4 linked regions of the Arabidopsis thaliana genome follow. The protein of the gene in region 1 interacts with the protein of each later gene in a pairwise test. Each region holds a gene or a part of one and is shown in the gene's direction. Other genes may lie near its edges.

What was found.
Region 2: the proteins of UMAMIT8 (region 1) and AT3G52070 interact in a protein complementation assay, tested with the Arabidopsis thaliana proteins (one large-scale study listed by BioGRID).
Region 3: the proteins of UMAMIT8 (region 1) and PIP1;5 interact in a protein complementation assay, tested with the Arabidopsis thaliana proteins (one large-scale study listed by BioGRID).
Region 4: the proteins of UMAMIT8 (region 1) and AT2G22425 interact in a protein complementation assay, tested with the Arabidopsis thaliana proteins (one large-scale study listed by BioGRID).

Annotation. Positions count from the first base shown.
Region 1 is NC_003075.7:9,357,126-9,362,501, reverse strand, and holds UMAMIT8 (nodulin MtN21 /EamA-like transporter family protein), read left to right. Parts: upstream 1-2,262; 5' UTR 2,263-2,630; coding exon 2,631-2,821; intron 2,822-2,922; coding exon 2,923-2,988; intron 2,989-3,030; exon of another isoform or gene 3,031-3,130; coding exon 3,131-3,247; intron 3,248-3,342; coding exon 3,343-3,577; intron 3,578-3,680; coding exon 3,681-3,845; coding exon of another isoform or gene 3,846-3,890; exon of another isoform or gene 3,891-3,913; coding exon 3,914-4,065; intron 4,066-4,163; coding exon 4,164-4,317; 3' UTR 4,318-4,596; downstream 4,597-5,376. Other genes in the region: AT4G16630 (DEA(D/H)-box RNA helicase family protein), read left to right, coding at 1-217, 311-326.
Region 2 is NC_003074.8:19,310,563-19,314,105, forward strand, and holds AT3G52070 (RNA/RNP complex-1-interacting phosphatase), read left to right. Parts: upstream 1-2,155; 5' UTR 2,156-2,190; coding exon 2,191-2,535; 3' UTR 2,536-2,662; downstream 2,663-3,543. Other genes in the region: AT3G52060 (core-2/I-branching beta-1,6-N-acetylglucosaminyltransferase family protein), read right to left, coding at 425-1,465; AT3G52075 (uncharacterized protein), read right to left, coding at 2,685-2,858.
Region 3 is NC_003075.7:12,218,706-12,223,274, forward strand, and holds PIP1;5 (plasma membrane intrinsic protein 1;5), read left to right. Parts: upstream 1-1,935; 5' UTR 1,936-2,086; coding exon 2,087-2,417; intron 2,418-2,690; coding exon 2,691-2,986; intron 2,987-3,080; coding exon 3,081-3,221; intron 3,222-3,354; coding exon 3,355-3,450; 3' UTR 3,451-3,763; downstream 3,764-4,569. Other genes in the region: AT4G23390 (NEP-interacting protein, putative (DUF239)), read right to left, coding at 33-182, 292-519, 599-685, 824-982. UniProt on the Arabidopsis thaliana protein: Aquaporins facilitate the transport of water and small neutral solutes across cell membranes.
Region 4 is NC_003071.7:9,512,659-9,516,517, forward strand, and holds AT2G22425 (Microsomal signal peptidase 12 kDa subunit (SPC12)), read left to right. Parts: upstream 1-2,036; 5' UTR 2,037-2,330; intron 2,331-2,414; 5' UTR 2,415-2,420; coding exon 2,421-2,699; 3' UTR 2,700-3,016; downstream 3,017-3,859. Other genes in the region: AT2G22420 (Peroxidase superfamily protein), read left to right, coding at 683-886, 970-1,161, 1,233-1,826. UniProt on the Arabidopsis thaliana protein: Component of the signal peptidase complex (SPC) which catalyzes the cleavage of N-terminal signal sequences from nascent proteins as they are translocated into the lumen of the endoplasmic reticulum. Dispensable for SPC enzymatic activity.

The DNA of each region.
Region 1 (5,376 bases):
TGAAAGCAAAACAGAGAGCAATTGATTCCGGTAAGATGGAGAGACCAAAGCCGGACAAGAAACAAAGCCGGAGTAAACCAAGAAACCAGCCTCGTGGTGAAGAGATGAAAGATCTGTTCAAGAGTGATATGGGCGAGAAGAAACAGGGCAGAGGCGGTGCCGCGGCTGCAGCAAAACCTCGGACGAAGTCGAAGAACTCATTCAAGAGCAAAGCCAGGTAAGAAACATTTCATCATAAACATGAAATTTACCAGTAACATAAATTGTAATTTGTTGGTTTAACTCGGTATTTTCTACTTTTATCGTGCAGATATAAGCGTAGGTAAAAGGAAAAAGCATTTTTGAGAAGATATCGAAGGACAATCCCACGAGAAGAAGGACATTTCATTGAGAAGGGTTTAAACAATTTAAATTATTGTTGTAATATCATAATTTAGAACAAAACTGGTTAAGATGTTCGAAATTTTGTTTTCTTTGTCCTATGGTTTTTATAATCTTTCATAAAGCTTTACCATGATTATTCGTAGTATGAAGAAGCAAAAAGTGGTTTAAAAAAAAATTAAAAAAAAAAAGAAGAGGTAAAAAGTCACGTGAGTTGGCGACGGTTGTAGTTGTAGACGCGTGGGCACGTGAGAAGACTATGTATGTTCACAGACTTCAGAACTTGAGACTGTAACCTTTTGTCTGTTCGTACGTGGCACAACTCATTAGTCATTAGAATGTTTTGAACCGGTTTAGGAGCTAATATGAGTTTCTGCATATTCAAGATGCCTTTTATTTCACACCAAGGGGTTTTGATACTAGTTAGGGTCTATAAAACTAAGTCTTAAGTGTTTTGAGCGTGAACTTTTCTTTTTTTTGGTCAGCGTGAAATGTTTCTAAGCTTTTAAACGCATTAAATTTTCATGATATGGATAACAGATGTTACAAAAGAAAAAAATGTATGTGGATAAAGATTAAACTCTTAACTTAATATATTTAGATAGATCGCATATTATATTTGTTGGGAAAAAAAGAGGGGGAGAAAAGAGAGACGATAACACGCTTCACAAGTCATTGGAAAAGAGACTGAGGATTGTTGACGTGTAAGCATCCCCACTTTTGCTCTTTTCTTTCTTACACTCCTCATTTTTTCTTATCTTACGCTTCACCTACCATATTTTACACTCCACACAACATCTCCAATATTATACATCTCCAATTAAAAATCTTTCATAGGCACATCATTTATTATAAAATAACTAATTCGTTATAGACTCTAGTCTAGTTTTCTAGTTAAAACTGATCCCTAGAAAATATTTTGATCATAAAACTATTTCGGTGTGAAAACGAATCACTAAACCATCCTTTGGTGTTTTGGGTTAAATAACTAAAACATTTCGGTATGAAAACAGATCACTAAACCATCTCATTAGCATTAACAAGGATATTAGAATAGGAAGCTTTTTTTACCAATAAAAATGATTATAGGTAGGTAGGCACATGGCATACACATATGATTTATCTGTGAGACTGTGACAAATACAAATATGAAGACATTCCATATTTGCATGCAAGAAAAAAAGAAGGAAGTAAAGAGTGAACAGATAGTCAGATACGTAAAACGAATAAAGGAGAAGATGGTAAGATGTCGTATTATATATCCAAAAATAAGAATACAAACAAAAGAAGAACACTGATAAATATTTTTGTTACTCCCCCGAGAAAAGGCCAAGGTCCCCGAATCTGACGGAGTTTATTGCATCTGTCTTTTTTTCCTTCTTCTCCTTTCTTTTTGGTTTATCTTTCTTTTTCATACTCTGCATGTTTTTAAACTTCACTGTAGTACAGAATTTCATCTTTAACATAAATTTGTGTGAGGGCGATTTATGATCGATCATTCCACCTTTTTTTAAATGACTTTACTGACAAAATAAACATATTATTCTTTAGTCTTAAATAAATAGAATCTTGTTTTATAATTTTGCTATTTTTATTACGTTATTTTACCAATCAAAACTATGGTTTTATATTCCAAATTTTATTAATATAGTGGCAACTTCCCAAATAAAAATCTTGACAATTTGAATAATCTTAAATTTTTGCCTAGCCGATTTGGCGAATTTTATTTATTTATTTATTTGTTCTATTTAAGAAATATCAGACTCACCGAAATATTTATTTCTTAACAAATTAAGCTAACCGCTCTCAAATTTTTGTTTTGTCTTATTTCATACATATTAAATCCATTGCACCAAAATTTGAGGACTCTATGTGTTATAAAAATAATCACCGTTTTAGACTAAAAATAAATTAAAATCTGCGCTTCCCCAAAAAGCTATAATGGCGAGACACTCCATAATAAAACCAATGCAATGTAATGGACACATGTCTTTAAAAGCAAGAAGTGAAAGATAGAGAAAGTTTCAACTTCAAGCATTACACATTACCAAAAAGAGAGATCACAAACAAAGCATCTTTTCTATTTTCATTTATCAACAACAACAAAACCAAAAACTTAATTAGTGTTTCTCTGCTTTTTTAGTTCCCCCACAAAATCGAATCCTTCTGTTCGGTTACCAAATGGGTTCCAACTGATTTGTCCGTTATTATTCTTTTTATTTTCTTCGTGTTTTTTTTGTGTTGAAAAAATGATGAAGAGAGAGACGTTAATAGAAGCAGGAATAATCGGAGGATTGGCCGGAGCTCAGGTGATTTACGCCGGAAACTCGGAGCTACTGAGTCAGTTGCTGTCTCTCGGAATTGACCCACTTCTTATCGTTATCTTATGCACCTTTGCATCAGTTCTTCTCATCACCCCTCTCGCTTTTCTCCTTGAAAGGTATCTTCTTCTTTCTTTTAATTTACAAAATCTCTGTTTCGAACTTTATTCTACATTCTTTTTCTAATAAAAATTTGGATTTTTGTGGTGTGTATTTGTAGGAAGCTTTGGCCTAGAAGTCTAAGTTTCAAGTTGAAGATAAAACTAGTTTTGGTTGCTCTTGCTGGGTAAAAACTCCTCTTTTTATTTATTTCTGCATGTTTTGATTAATAGATGCTTACCTTGCTTCTTCTATACGTTAAAGAGAAGGAGAAGAATTAAAAATTCATAACAAGGGATTAATTAAGAGAGAAGTTGTGTTTGAAACAGAGTGACTCTGTTCCAGGGGTTATTCTTGGAAGGAATGAAACACACCTCTGCTTCAATGGCTACAGCTATGCCTAATCTCTGCCCTGCTTTCATTTTTGTCATTGCTTGGGCTGCTGGGTAAATCTTTTACTTTTGTGTTAATCTAATCTGTTTAGTGTTTGAAGATTAGAGCTTTCATTAATGTGTTATTTGAATAAATTGTAATTGTTAAGGATGGAGAAAGTGAAGCTAAGTTGTATGTATAGTAGAGTTAAGATGGGAGGGACAGTGTTGTGTGTGATGGGAGCTCTCATTATGAGCTTAATGCACAGTACTACCGCTACTTTAAGCTCGGTTAAGACTATACCTATTGTCCCTGACGAAGTCGTTGTGGACAAGGACAAGATCTTAGGTTGCCTCTATCTCCTCCTTGCCATTTGCGGCTTGTCCTCTAGTATTGTCCTTCAGGTTTCACCTTATACCCCTTCTTAGCCCTAGAGCTATCATATATCCGGTTGTGCTAATTAATCTGATTCTTTGCTTGTGAAATCACTTTGATCGTCCTAATTAGGCATCCATACTAGCCGAGTTTCCGGCGCCTATATCAATGTTCTCGATGGTATCTTTGATGGGTGGGATCACCACAGTAGCTTTGCAGTATGCTCTTAAGGGAAGTATGGAAATGGGAAGTGCATCAGTAATCGGTCTCGGCCACCTTGTGGGATACGCAATACTGGTACGTCATAAATCATATATGGTTGGCAACATTTGGATGTGTTGAAAATGTTTTTGTTTTTTTTCTAGGGAGGGTTGGTGAGTGGAGGAGGGTTAAGCTTCAATGCATGGGTGATTAAGAGGAAAGGACCAGTGATTGTGTCTCTCTTTAGTCCAATTGCAACTGTGGTATGTGTTGTTGTCTCTGCTTTTACCATGGAAGAGAGTTTCAACCTAGGAAGGTACATTTTTGCAGCTTTTCGCATTCATTGTATGATCTTTTAGACAGAAAGAGAAGTCATTTATCTTCTTTCTTGTTTGTTTTTCTCTGTCAAATTAGCTTTGCGGGAATGGCGTTGATGTTCGGAGGACTCTACTTCGTTCTGTGGGCTAAAGGAAAAGAGGATTGTGAAGAAATAGATGAAATGAAACAAGATGATGAAGAAAGTTTGCTTAGAACAGAGTTTGATCTTCAGAAGCCTCTCTTGCTTTAGTTCAAAGTCTTTTTTTTTTCTTCTTCTTAATGTTCTTGTGAATTTAGTTTAGGTTTAAAGAAGTAAGACAATTTTACTTTACAGATAATTCGGTTAGATATACATGTAGTAGGCTGTAGACTACAGTATATGTTCGTGTGTGATACTAAAATAGTTGGATATAAAAAAAACATCACATACATACAGGGCGAAGAAAAAGGGCCTAAACGATGTTATGTAAAAAGTTGTTCAATGTGAAGGTATATTTATATATAAATAAAAATTACCGTTGAGTTAGAAGATGAAGATAAACCTACCTAATATGAGAATGCGAATGGAACTAAGCAAATACACGCCAAAGACTGTTTTCCTATTCCCAAAGAAAAGCTGAGCCAGAGTATAAGTCAGGTGTGGAGATGGAGTTAGATAATGACAAACAAGGTAGAAACAAAAAAACGCAAGTCAGGGTATTTATAGAATTGTCATTACATAGCAGATGACCAAGCAGGTTAGTGTCCGCTATATCGGAAAGCTTCAAGAGAACGGGAAGATCTTCGATTCCACCATTGGAAAAGCACCTTTTAATACTTATGTGATATGGCAATTAAGGGATGGAGTTATGTGATTGGTACGTGATACTTATGAAGTTGTTGTTACATGCAGGTCATGGTAAAGTCATTAAGGGATGGGATGTTGGCTTAAATGGTAACTTAGTTTCGTCCTCCTAAAGGTTTTCATCACTTTGTTTCAAATGGTGTATTGCTCTCAAGTTTTAAAAATTTCACAGGCATGTGTGTTGGGGACAAAAGAAGGATTACAATTCCTCCATCAATGTCGATATCTTCTTCTCTTTCTCCATGCGCTTGATGGATACCTTCAATATCTTCTCTACATAAAATCTTGGCGAACGACTATAATTGTACTTCGTTGTAGATATCATGCATACGTGCTTCCATTAATCTGCAAATTTGCTAATAAATCGCAGTAGCTGGAACTGGAACATTAGACTTCTGGATGTAAAAGCATTAATGAACTTTTGGTCAACCATTAGACCAAGAGGTTTCCACGATTTCTTTCTTA
Region 2 (3,543 bases), on another chromosome or scaffold:
TTTTCGAAACAAAAGAGAGGGAACAACACTTTTGCCATTCCCTCTCTCTCCCGTGGAAAGGAGCTGAATTACAAAAGAAAAGCCGATTTGGCTTTATCTTAATGATGATGCTCTCACTTTGCCTTTGGGGGCTCTCTATTTACATTCTTTTTTACATCCATTTTCCCATATCTCTACCTTCCCTAGAGACACACAAAAGCTTAAAAAACACAGCAATTTTCACACACACACACAGAAGTTCATCTTTATTTAGCCACTCTTCTTCGAGCGCCAACACAAGCTTCTTCCTAAACCTTCCTTATGATGATATCTGAAACCTGAACACAATAACAAGAAGATAAGCAAATTGAAACTAAACTCTCAAACTGTATTCATATTTACACATTGAGATTTCAGTGTTATACCTAATTTACTTTCACCGAATTCAATCCCTAAAGATCACAGCATCTGCAATCTCCATAAGCGGTTGCAATGACTCCGGCGTGAATTTTCTGGCGAAGAAATAGTCTAAACTCGAATTAGATCTCCGCAGAGAGTGAATCAGCTGCGGCGAGATCTCAGAGGCATCGTACGTGTGAGGATGACCACCAACACTACCGGTCCAATTAACACGTGTGAGTGTAAAGTGACTACATCCTTGAGGATCCTCAAGAGACAACAAAGTCGGAAAATAATGTTCTTCAGGGTAACAAGATTCAACATCAAGGCATGGTAATTTGAATTTCCTCCATAGCTTTCTCTCTTTGATCACCATTAGAGCATGACGTTTCGCTAATACGAAGAACTGAGATCCAACACGGAAGTCTTGGTACTGGATCTCAGGAAGCATCGCGTCGTCTCCTCTTGCGTTGTATCGTTTCAGAAGGAACGGTTCATCGGAGAGGATCTCGATGAAGCTTTGTTGATGATGATCGGAGAAGAGGTGGTTGTGGATGTAAGAGAAGGAATGGAGAGGGATACAGTGTTGTGAGATTAAAGCGAAATAGAGATTGTTAGGATCGTCGAGGATTGCGTTTGCTAGTAATCGTCGTTCGGCGGAGATTAACGTCGGAGAAGCTCGTGCGGTTCTTCTCGCCGGGATGAACTTAGCGTTGATTGATGAAGAATCGAGAAGAGGAGAGACGGAGGAGGTTGGATCTGCGTGGATGTAAACGTTGTAGAGATCTTGGTGACCTTGGAAGAAGCTTTCCCAGAGAGGTAAGAAGGTTAGATCGGAGTTTGTTAGGAAGAGGAAAGCGATCTTTGGGGGTGGATTTGGAGAGAGGGAGATGAGACGACGGTTGTTGTTGGTGGAGGAAGAGACGACGGCGCGGTGGAAGAGAGAGAGGTCGTCTAGGTCATCGGCGGTGGAAATGAGGGTAGAGGAAGAGAGAAGGATGTGTGGTGAGAGGATGAAGAGGAAGAAGAGAAGAGAAAGAGAGAGGAAGAGAGATAGAGAATAAACGAGTGTAGAAGATGAGAACATCTCTCTGTATACAACAACACAGAATTTCTCTGAGGAAGAAGAAGAAGAAGAAGAAGAAGATTGATTGAAATGAATGAGTTAGAAAAAATTCTGATGTGACAATAAAAAGGAAAAAGGGGAATAATGACGTCAGCAAAATGGGGACACGTGAAATTATTTTTAAAATTATTTGGGACAATCGACACAGTTGCTCTATCGCTATTTGTTTACGTGGGGCTGTTCTCTCTCTATTTATATAATAATGAGATACGGTTTTTTCAGCAACCAGATTTTAAAGTTATCTGATTAAATCTAATAATAGGATAGAGATAGAGTCACAGAGACATGTTGTTGACTTTATGACATTATTTTATTCTTTGCTTATCCACTCAGTCATCATTTATCTCACCAGTCAGACATAATGTGTTGTTGTTGTGAATTTGTAGATGCTTCCGACTATACCTGATTACCTGGCCATTCAGAATCGGTTTGGATCAAAAAATTTGGGTTTTCGGTTTAGAAATCGAAACAAACCGAATTAGTTGAAACGAACCGAATAGAAATTCGGCCAATTTGGTTTTGCATTGGCGTGTACCTTGTGACTACATGTGTGTGTGTTAGATGAGATCTATCCACCCATTTTTCAAATCATTTTTGTCGTTAAGCTATCAAGATTCTGATATTTTCCTGCTCACTTTTGATTCCCAAAACAAAAAACTTTCTTCAATTATTCTATTCATCTTCTCATGGCGGCTCTCTCCACCACCTTCTACTACCACCCACTCTGCACTAACCACCGTACAAAGAGACAAGCCTCAAGCAGACACGGAGTTAGATCTATGAGAGTGATGTCTTGTCGGAAGCAGAAATTACCAGAAGAGAATGAAGGAGTGATCCAGAGAACATTGAGAAGGATGATTTCAGAGGCTGGGAAGATTGGGAAGAATCTGAAGCCAGAGAAGAAGAAAGGAGACGTCAAGGACCTGATGCTTATGAGTCTCTCTTTTGCTGTTTATGTTTATATCTCTCAACTATTGGTTTGTGCTTACTTCTCCTGGCAACATCTCAGCTTCCCCAAATCTTCATGGTAGTAGCTAAGCTAGCTCCTCCTTGTAAATTCTGCACAAATCAGTAATAAGATAAGAAATTCAATTCCGACATAGGAGAATTGAGAGTTGTGATCTTTCACTTTGGTCTTATATAATTGAATTGTTAAGCTTCTCATACCTCTTTATCTGCTTTAACTCCGGCAGAAAAGGCAAACCAACCATTGCGATAACACTATCAACCAGTTAAGGCTCTTTGTTTTAGAGCCGAAAGGAGATGCAAGAGCCTCGGGCAGAGTCGCTGAGTATGCCTTGAAAACCAAAACTTTGACCGTAATTGTTAGAAAGAAAGAGAGATTCCTAACCATTTCGTATTGGCCTCCTCCAATTTATCCTCCTTAAACAGAGAGCCCCATCCATTTTCCTTCTGTGTGCTGCACCAAACCTTTCCTCCATAGTCATATCACTGCGAGCTTTTCCCTGTACAATCCAACCTCTAAGTCAGCTATAAGCAAAGAGCTTGGGATAAAAGCTTGGTTGTGGAGTGTTCAGGTAAGGAAACAAGAATCAGCAAATGATCTTAAAGAAAAAACGTTCCTCCTTTGTTTCATCAAATCCAACAACTTCAGCGTCATCTAACAATTCCGCTATAGATGGAACATTGGGAAAAAGAAGAGTTTCCATCTCTCCTATATGCTAAATTCCCAGCAAACATGCAAGAGCGCACGTTCACCAGACTTGATGCTGGAAACACCAATAGCTAAACCGGCCATTACTTGTATCTCTGTTCATAGAGGACATTTCACTCCTTAGTTTTTAATCTTGTTTAAAGCTCTGTATACTAACATAAACATGCATGAATCAGCTTTAAAGCAACAAAAGAAAGAAAGGAAAACTCAATTTCTTTCCTCCCAAATATTCTTTTTCATTAGGTTCACATGAAACGCAAGATTTAAGACCTCAGCTTTACTATCAACTTTAGGTAGGTAAGACTACCTACCATTTTGAGAAGGCTCACAATGCAAAAATGGAACTCACCATCCTTGACTGATT
Region 3 (4,569 bases), 2.9 Mb from region 1:
AATAAGTAAAAATAGGGTCTAGCTTGACTTACAATCCATCCAGCAGAAATGCTTTGAAATCCTTTGTTGCCTGATACAGCCATAGCCGCAAGACTAAATTGATCAGGTGAGACGTTTGGATTCCATACGTTAATGTTTCCTTTTGCTCCATAGTGGTCATCTTTGTAACTAATTGTGGCAAACTAAAATCCGAAGAGAAAAAGAATAGATAATCAAAAAATATTATAAGCATTGTGGACAAGTTACAAGGCGATCTCAATTCAACTACGTGTAATAAGAAATGATTCTTACATGATGACCAGTTAAATCAATTTTCTTGTCCTTTGCAGACACTTGTCCTGGATAGTTGAATCGTAAGGATTGCAAACGTTGAGCTCGTATAAGATCTTCAAGTATAATTCTTTTGACAATGACTGTCCCAACTGGACAACTTATGTCATCTTGTCGAAATGGCAGAGAACTAGTTTTATGAGAAGCGTTGTTATCTTTGGTCCATTTAGGTATAGTTGTGGGTTTCAACTGCATTTATATTTCAATCCATCCAAACATTAATAAGAATTTTATTTATAGATATTTTTTCGTGGTTTGTAGGATAAACCTTAATAGAATGGTTCTTGAGCAAAGGATGATCAAAAGCTAGCTGTTTTTGAATGTCGATGCAGTCAAATATATAACCATGTTCAGTCTGTCGAAATCAAAAGCAAGAAAAAATTGGTGTGGTCTGAAAATAAATGTAACTTGATGATAGTTGTAATATTGTTACAATAGTCAACAATTTTTGTAATGTTTTATGAAAATTTAAGAAAAGAAAGGCTAAATTTACTTGGAAACTTTTGACTGCAGGTTTATTGAGATAGGTAAGTAGCTTCTTCATCTCTTCTTTCTCCTCTTTCGAAGGTATTGTTTTGTGACTCTCTCCAACTAAAATGAGAGCTATTGTTGATAAAGTTAGCAAGATAATTAGTTTATTGGAATACCTCATGATGAATCAAGGATCTTAATCTATATTTTTCAAAAGAAAAAATGAAGCAGAACAACTATATTTATTGTGTCACATAAATCTGAGATCATTTATAACCACCAAAGAACCTATACACAGTAAATGACAAATGTATCTCCCTCTATCTCTATTGCCCATATGTAGATGCTAAAGTAAGATTTCTCTTTTTTTTAATGTACTTTTTTTTGTATAAAGTATATTCCATAAGAAAAAGGAAAAGCTTGTTTATGGATCAATTGACCCCAAAAAAAGTTTTTAGATCAAAGCCCAATATAAAAAAAAAACACAGTAGTGACACAAAGGAACTTAAATAAACCATGAATTGATCTATAAACAGTAGAGATCGATAAGGCGAACATTTTCCATGTGAAGTGTCTTCTTTCATCTATAATATTTTTGACATCCAATAATTTCCTCTATAATATCATTCACATAATTGATAGAAACATTATGTTAGAATTGTCCACATCATTTGAGCTGTAATATATTCTGTTTTAACAAATTATATGGTAGTTGCTTAATCTTATGTCCATCTTCTTCTATGCATCGTTTTCGCGCCTAGTTGTCCAGTCCATTTCAACTACCTACCTCTAATTCTTATCTTAAAACAACATTTTTTAATTTAAGTATTATGCTCAAAGACTAACTAGATAGAAAACCGTTATTAAACATTAAACGAATTAAAAGTCTTACATGGAAAATGTAGGTTTATAAACCACGAGTTATGATTGACAATAAAAAAAATGCAAATCATCAATCAAAAGAGACTTGAGTGCGACTCTATATCAACCATTGCAATTAAAATTATCTATCACAAAAATTTTAGACAGATTAAGTTAATTTAGTCTAAATTCACTAATTTATTTTCTATAATTAGTAATTAACTATATTTATTTATTTACACATTTTCTGATAATTTAGAAATTTGCATGAATAACAAATATAAGATTTTGGAAATTAGTAGCAAATTTAATTAATAATTATTTTTGCCTAAATGAACCAAACTATAAAACCTCCACATACACCAGTCATCAAATTTACAGAGACAACAAACTAAAGTTGGTGGTGATAGAGTGAGAGAGAAACATGGAAGGCAAAGAAGAAGACGTCAATGTTGGAGCCAACAAGTTCCCAGAGAGACAGCCGATCGGTACGGCGGCTCAGACGGAGAGCAAGGACTATAAGGAACCACCACCGGCGCCGTTTTTCGAACCCGGCGAGCTCAAATCTTGGTCTTTCTACAGAGCAGGGATAGCTGAGTTCATAGCCACTTTCCTTTTCCTCTACGTCACCGTTTTGACAGTCATGGGTGTTAAGAGAGCTCCCAATATGTGTGCCTCTGTTGGAATCCAAGGCATCGCTTGGGCTTTTGGTGGCATGATCTTTGCTCTTGTTTACTGTACTGCTGGAATCTCAGGTTCAGGATCTGTTCTTGCTCTGAATTTTGTTTAAAGTTTTCGAATTTAGGTTGAAGGAATCTGGAATTAGGGTTACTTGGTTGTGAGAAACTTGGATATAATGAAGAAAGTTTGATACTTAAAAGTAATTTCACATTTAAAGATTGAAACTTTGAGTAATTTTCTTCTTAAAGTTTGAAACTTTGGTTAGTTTGCCCCACTTTGTTTCTTCTGTGTGAAGATCATAATCTGATTTTGACTTGTGTGTGGCGAATTGGTTTGGTAATGAGCAGGAGGACATATTAATCCGGCGGTGACTTTTGGTTTGTTCTTGGCGAGGAAGCTATCTTTAACCAGAGCTCTGTTCTACATAGTAATGCAGTGCCTTGGAGCTATATGTGGTGCTGGTGTGGTTAAAGGGTTTCAACCAGGGCTGTACCAGACGAATGGCGGTGGAGCTAATGTGGTGGCTCATGGTTACACAAAGGGTTCAGGTCTTGGTGCAGAGATTGTTGGAACTTTTGTTCTGGTTTACACTGTTTTCTCAGCTACTGATGCTAAGAGAAGTGCCAGAGACTCTCATGTCCCTGTATGTTGCTAATTCTCTAGTATCCTTGAGTTGTGTTGAGTTCATATTCTTCACATAGAGCTCATGTGTTTTTTGGTTATCGAACATTTTGCAGATCTTGGCTCCGCTTCCAATTGGGTTTGCTGTCTTCTTGGTGCACTTGGCTACCATCCCAATTACTGGAACTGGCATTAACCCGGCCAGGAGTCTCGGAGCTGCCATCATCTACAACAAGGATCATGCTTGGGATGACCATGTAAGTTTTCCTCTTTAATTACATCAACGGTTGTGCTAAGTATGATAAGTTATGAATTGCATCTAAATAGCAACTCAGAATTTTTGATAATTCTGCTCTTATCTGTTGTCTCTTTTGTTTTATGTGTCTGCAGTGGATCTTCTGGGTCGGTCCATTCATTGGTGCTGCGCTTGCTGCTCTGTACCATCAGATAGTCATCAGAGCTATTCCTTTCAAGTCCAAGACATAAAGTTTCCTACATATTCTCTGATCATCATCAAGCTAAGAATATATCAATCTTTAATTCTATATGCTTTCTTCTTGTTTCCTATGTCATGTGTGATGATCTCTATATGTACCACTAGAGCTTTGATCTTGTAACAGTGTAAATGTGTAATCTATTATGTATCAATGGCATTGTATCTTGTAACATTAATTATGTCAATGGAAGAATACATTGTGTACATGTGTAAGCTCAGAATCTTGTTTGAATATCACAGAGACATAACTGAACTGGACATAGGTATGCTAAGTTGCTAACATTGTCAATAAGTGTTTCCAATACCAAACATTAGCAACATAATTGTAAAATGTGTAGAATTTGATAGAACAACATCTAAGCCGAACTGAACTGGTCTAACACCATCATCGCAAGTATTTCTTCATCTTCTTTCTTCTATAAGAGTCTTTCATTTTCCACTTTTTATAACATGCTTATAACTGAATTTTCAACTTTTGAATCACAGTTTCAGTTATAGATATTCTTGGATGATGTTCAGTTCGGGGTTTTGGTTTTGGTTTTGGTTTTGGTTGATAGTCATGAAAATGCATGTTCTGTTCCACATGGTAGGGTTCCAGTAAAATAATAAAAGAACCAGATTTAGTAACATCTTTCACATGAATGATAACATATTTCACATGTTTGATGCAGCAACTTGTAATATGGATGATAGTCATGAAAGAATCTAATGGGCCAAGAAATGTGAAAGAGTCTACATGACTATCATCCAAAAAAGAGTTGTAGCAATATGGATGGGCCAAGAAAGTGCAAGACTTCAGCTTGAGCTTGACTTTAAGAGAATAAGTAATTTGCATTTGCCCTTTGGTCATGTAGTACTCGGGTTGTTTACATTTATCAAACAAATATCAGAGTTGTTTATTGTTATTTGGGAAAATCTTTAAACTTTCTACATAATCTTTGAGACTAGTGGGAATTAAGAGTGGTGATGTAGTGGATCAAGATTAAAAAAAGTTGATTGTTTAAAACATCGAGTATCTTGCAATACAAAACAAAACCCTTAAACCAATCAATACGAAAAAGATGAAGATGTCAACTTTCCTTTTCAAAAATATGCAAGTTTGAATCCGG
Region 4 (3,859 bases), on another chromosome or scaffold:
ATTAATGTATTTTTAGGATTTTCACACATCTTAAAAAACATATTAAAAGTTGATTAGAAATATATTATTCTTCTTGAAGTTTACACATCAATAATAACTAGTAATAAATATTGCATAGAAATTTTAAAAATGACTATCTTTTCGAATCAAAAAAATTTCCTACAAAATACAATAATAAACAAAGAGAGTAGTACTGTTCATCTAAATACTGTATAATGGATGTTTTACCAATTTTAACAATTACGTACAAAAGTTTCACACCTTTATAAAAAAAATTTGATCAATTATCCTTTTATCTTCTTTATTTTTGCCAGCTAATATACACTGCAATAATCCAAACTTAACAAACATTTAACATTACTTCAGATTCATCATTCAATAATTTCACAAACCCATAATTTTACCAAATTACTACACTAATCCCCCATTGGCACCAATTCTATAATTAGAAAATTTATTTCTTTATTTATTTATTTATTTATTTCTATTTATTAAAGAAATAAATTATAGAAATTGGAATGCCCACCACCACCAGAGACCACACTTGCACAAATTCCATCTATAAACACAAAAGCCTTTAGTATCATTCTCGAAAACCACCAAAAACCTCTTTATAACCCAACAAACAAAGTCTCTACTTCTTCTTCAATCACTGAAACACAACACCAAAAAAGAAAAAAGTATGTCTCTTCTTCCCCATCTCATCCTCTACCTAACACTTTTGACGGTGGTTGTTACTGGAGAAACTCTCCGACCAAGATTCTACAGCGAGACATGCCCTGAAGCTGAATCCATAGTAAGAAGAGAAATGAAGAAAGCAATGATCAAAGAAGCAAGAAGCGTCGCTTCCGTCATGCGTTTCCAATTTCACGACTGTTTCGTCAATGTAAACACTATAAATCTTTCTCTCTGTTCTTGATCTTTACTCTGTTTTCCTCTCTGAATTTTTCTTTGAATCATCAAATTCAGGGATGTGACGCATCTCTGTTGCTTGACGACACACCAAACATGCTTGGTGAAAAACTATCACTTTCCAACATCGATTCACTAAGATCTTTCGAAGTCGTTGACGACATTAAAGAAGCTCTAGAGAAAGCTTGTCCAGCTACTGTTTCTTGTGCCGATATCGTTATCATGGCCGCTCGTGACGCCGTTGCTCTTGTAAGTCAAAATTCAATTTCCCCGGTTTAGTGAAATCTCGGTTTTGTAATTTTGGTCTTTGAAAAAACCAGACAGGAGGACCAGATTGGGAAGTGAAGCTAGGGAGGAAAGACAGTTTAACAGCGAGTCAGCAAGATTCCGACGATATAATGCCAAGTCCAAGAGCCAACGCAACTTTCTTGATTGATCTCTTCGAAAGATTCAATCTTTCTGTAAAAGACATGGTTGCTTTATCAGGGTCACACTCAATAGGTCAAGGTCGGTGTTTTTCAATCATGTTCAGACTTTATAACCAATCCGGTTCTGGTAAACCGGATCCAGCTCTTGAACCGAGTTACCGTAAGAAGCTTGATAAGCTTTGTCCTTTGGGTGGAGATGAGAATGTGACTGGAGATCTAGATGCAACACCTCAGGTTTTTGATAATCAGTATTTCAAAGACTTGGTTTCAGGGAGAGGGTTTCTTAACTCTGATCAGACTTTGTACACGAATCTAGTGACGAGAGAGTATGTGAAGATGTTTAGTGAGGATCAAGATGAGTTCTTTAGGGCTTTTGCAGAAGGCATGGTGAAGTTGGGTGATTTGCAATCTGGGAGACCTGGTGAGATTAGGTTTAATTGTAGAGTTGTTAATAGAAGGCCTATTGATGTATTGCTTGTATCTTGAATTATCATTAGTAAAGAGAAGAAATCTTAATTATGACTTCTAAATTGATGCAAATCTTTTTAGCTACATGCCATGGATCTTGGTTCTCCAAAACTTTGATTTTGGTTTATGAATACTGGTCACTGCTAAAGCTACAATCTGGTCACACCAGTCTATAAAATAGTAAACATTATCTAATCACTGAAGTTGTTGTCCCAATAAACAAATTATGGACTGGACAAGTAGCAACATTCTAATTCTGAGGTACACACAAAGAAACTTAAATGTAAATATTCCTTGTTTCAAGGTTTCAGAATTTGCACATATACAAAATCTCGAAATAATTAAGGCACATTAAAAACCGCCGGTTCACCCGGTTATAGAGTAATCTGACCGTCCACTTTATCCGGTTTACTTTTAAACCGATTTTGTGGTCTTAGCTCATAAATGTCAAGAGTCCTTTCTTTTCTTCCCCATTGTTGAAAATCAGGTTTACAGATTCAGTGAGAGATCAGATCGCTAAAGGTTTGTGCAATTAGGGTTCTCAGATTCTCTCTTTTGTTTAACTTTGGATTCAAATCGCTAATGGTTTTTGATTTCGTTGTGTAGAAGAAAATGGATTGGCAAGGACAGAAACTGGTGGAGCAGCTGATGCAGATCTTACTGGTGATCTCCGGCGTTGTAGCGGTGGTTGTTGGCTACACAACGGAATCGTTCAGGACGATGATGCTGATCTATGCCGGTGGTGTTGTTCTCACGACTTTGGTTACTGTACCTAATTGGCCTTTCTACAATCTTCATCCTCTCAAATGGTTAGATCCGAGCGAAGCCGAGAAGCATCCCAAACCAGAAGTTGTCAGTGTTGCTTCGAAGAAGAAATTCTCTAAGAAATAGGTCTGATTCTGAATCTCTCTCTCTCTCTCTCTCTCTCTCTCTCTCAGAATTGTTTGTATGAGATATTTGTGGATCGGAATCTTAATTATGAATTGAATATTCTGGGTTGATTCTTATAATTATCTGTTTTTGCCAAAGGAATTTGCTTTTGAATCAATGGCTATGGCTGTAATCTGGCAATTTCACTGAATTGTGTAGATTATCTATCATCAGAGAGTTTTAGATGAAAAAGTCTTATGAATCACAAAAGTCTCAGTTTTTATGAAAATGGTACATAAATATCACACCATCCATTTACACTCTGTGTTAAGCTTGTGTGCAAAAACCAATGCTAGTCTTTGATGCTTTGCTCCTTCTTATTTTCTTGAGTCGAAGTAGAAATAGTTTGTGTGATTCCAAACTGTTCCGCTAGTCGCTGGTCAGAGGATTTGCACGGGTTCATATTCCGGGAGATTCGAGTCATCTGGCGAACGCGAACGCTTAAAGGTAGGTCATAGGCTTATGAAACGAAATGACAGTTGAATCAGCGAACGCGTACAGGTTTGGAATCAGAATTTGAGAGAACCAACATTTGGCAGGATGCTTGTAAATGAGCTGTGGAGAAAAAGGAGTGGTTTAGTTAGGTCAGCATTAGGAAGAAGCAGAGGATATGAAAAGTATACCTTCACCAGAAGGATGAAGCAAATTCACAAACAAAGAGAGAGCTCTCCGGAAGTAGCAATAGCCAAAATCTACATGGTATCGCAAAAAAAATACATCATGTGGATAAACAATAGAGGAAAATTCAGTGATTGTAAGAAACTAGTCAACTCTAGAGACAAAATCAAATACAAGGTATATATGACAAACGTATATCTTGAATGCTCGGCTAGTGTCATTACCAATGTGGTCAAGAAAAGAGGTTTCTGTGTGAATTGGGTAAAAGGTTGTGAACCTGAAAAACCATACAATAAGCATATTACTCTAATACTCCATAAGAGAATAGGACAAGAAAATTTGGGAAACATACGCAAGACATAACAAGTTGACTCCATAATTCTTCATTGGACATTGAGAAGTCTTTTCTGTTTGGTTTTGTCTGTTCATTTGGATCTTATTTGAGCTTCAGCCCATCAATAAATATGAAAGGGCCTGTTTAAAGCCCATCAAATAATTGTTTT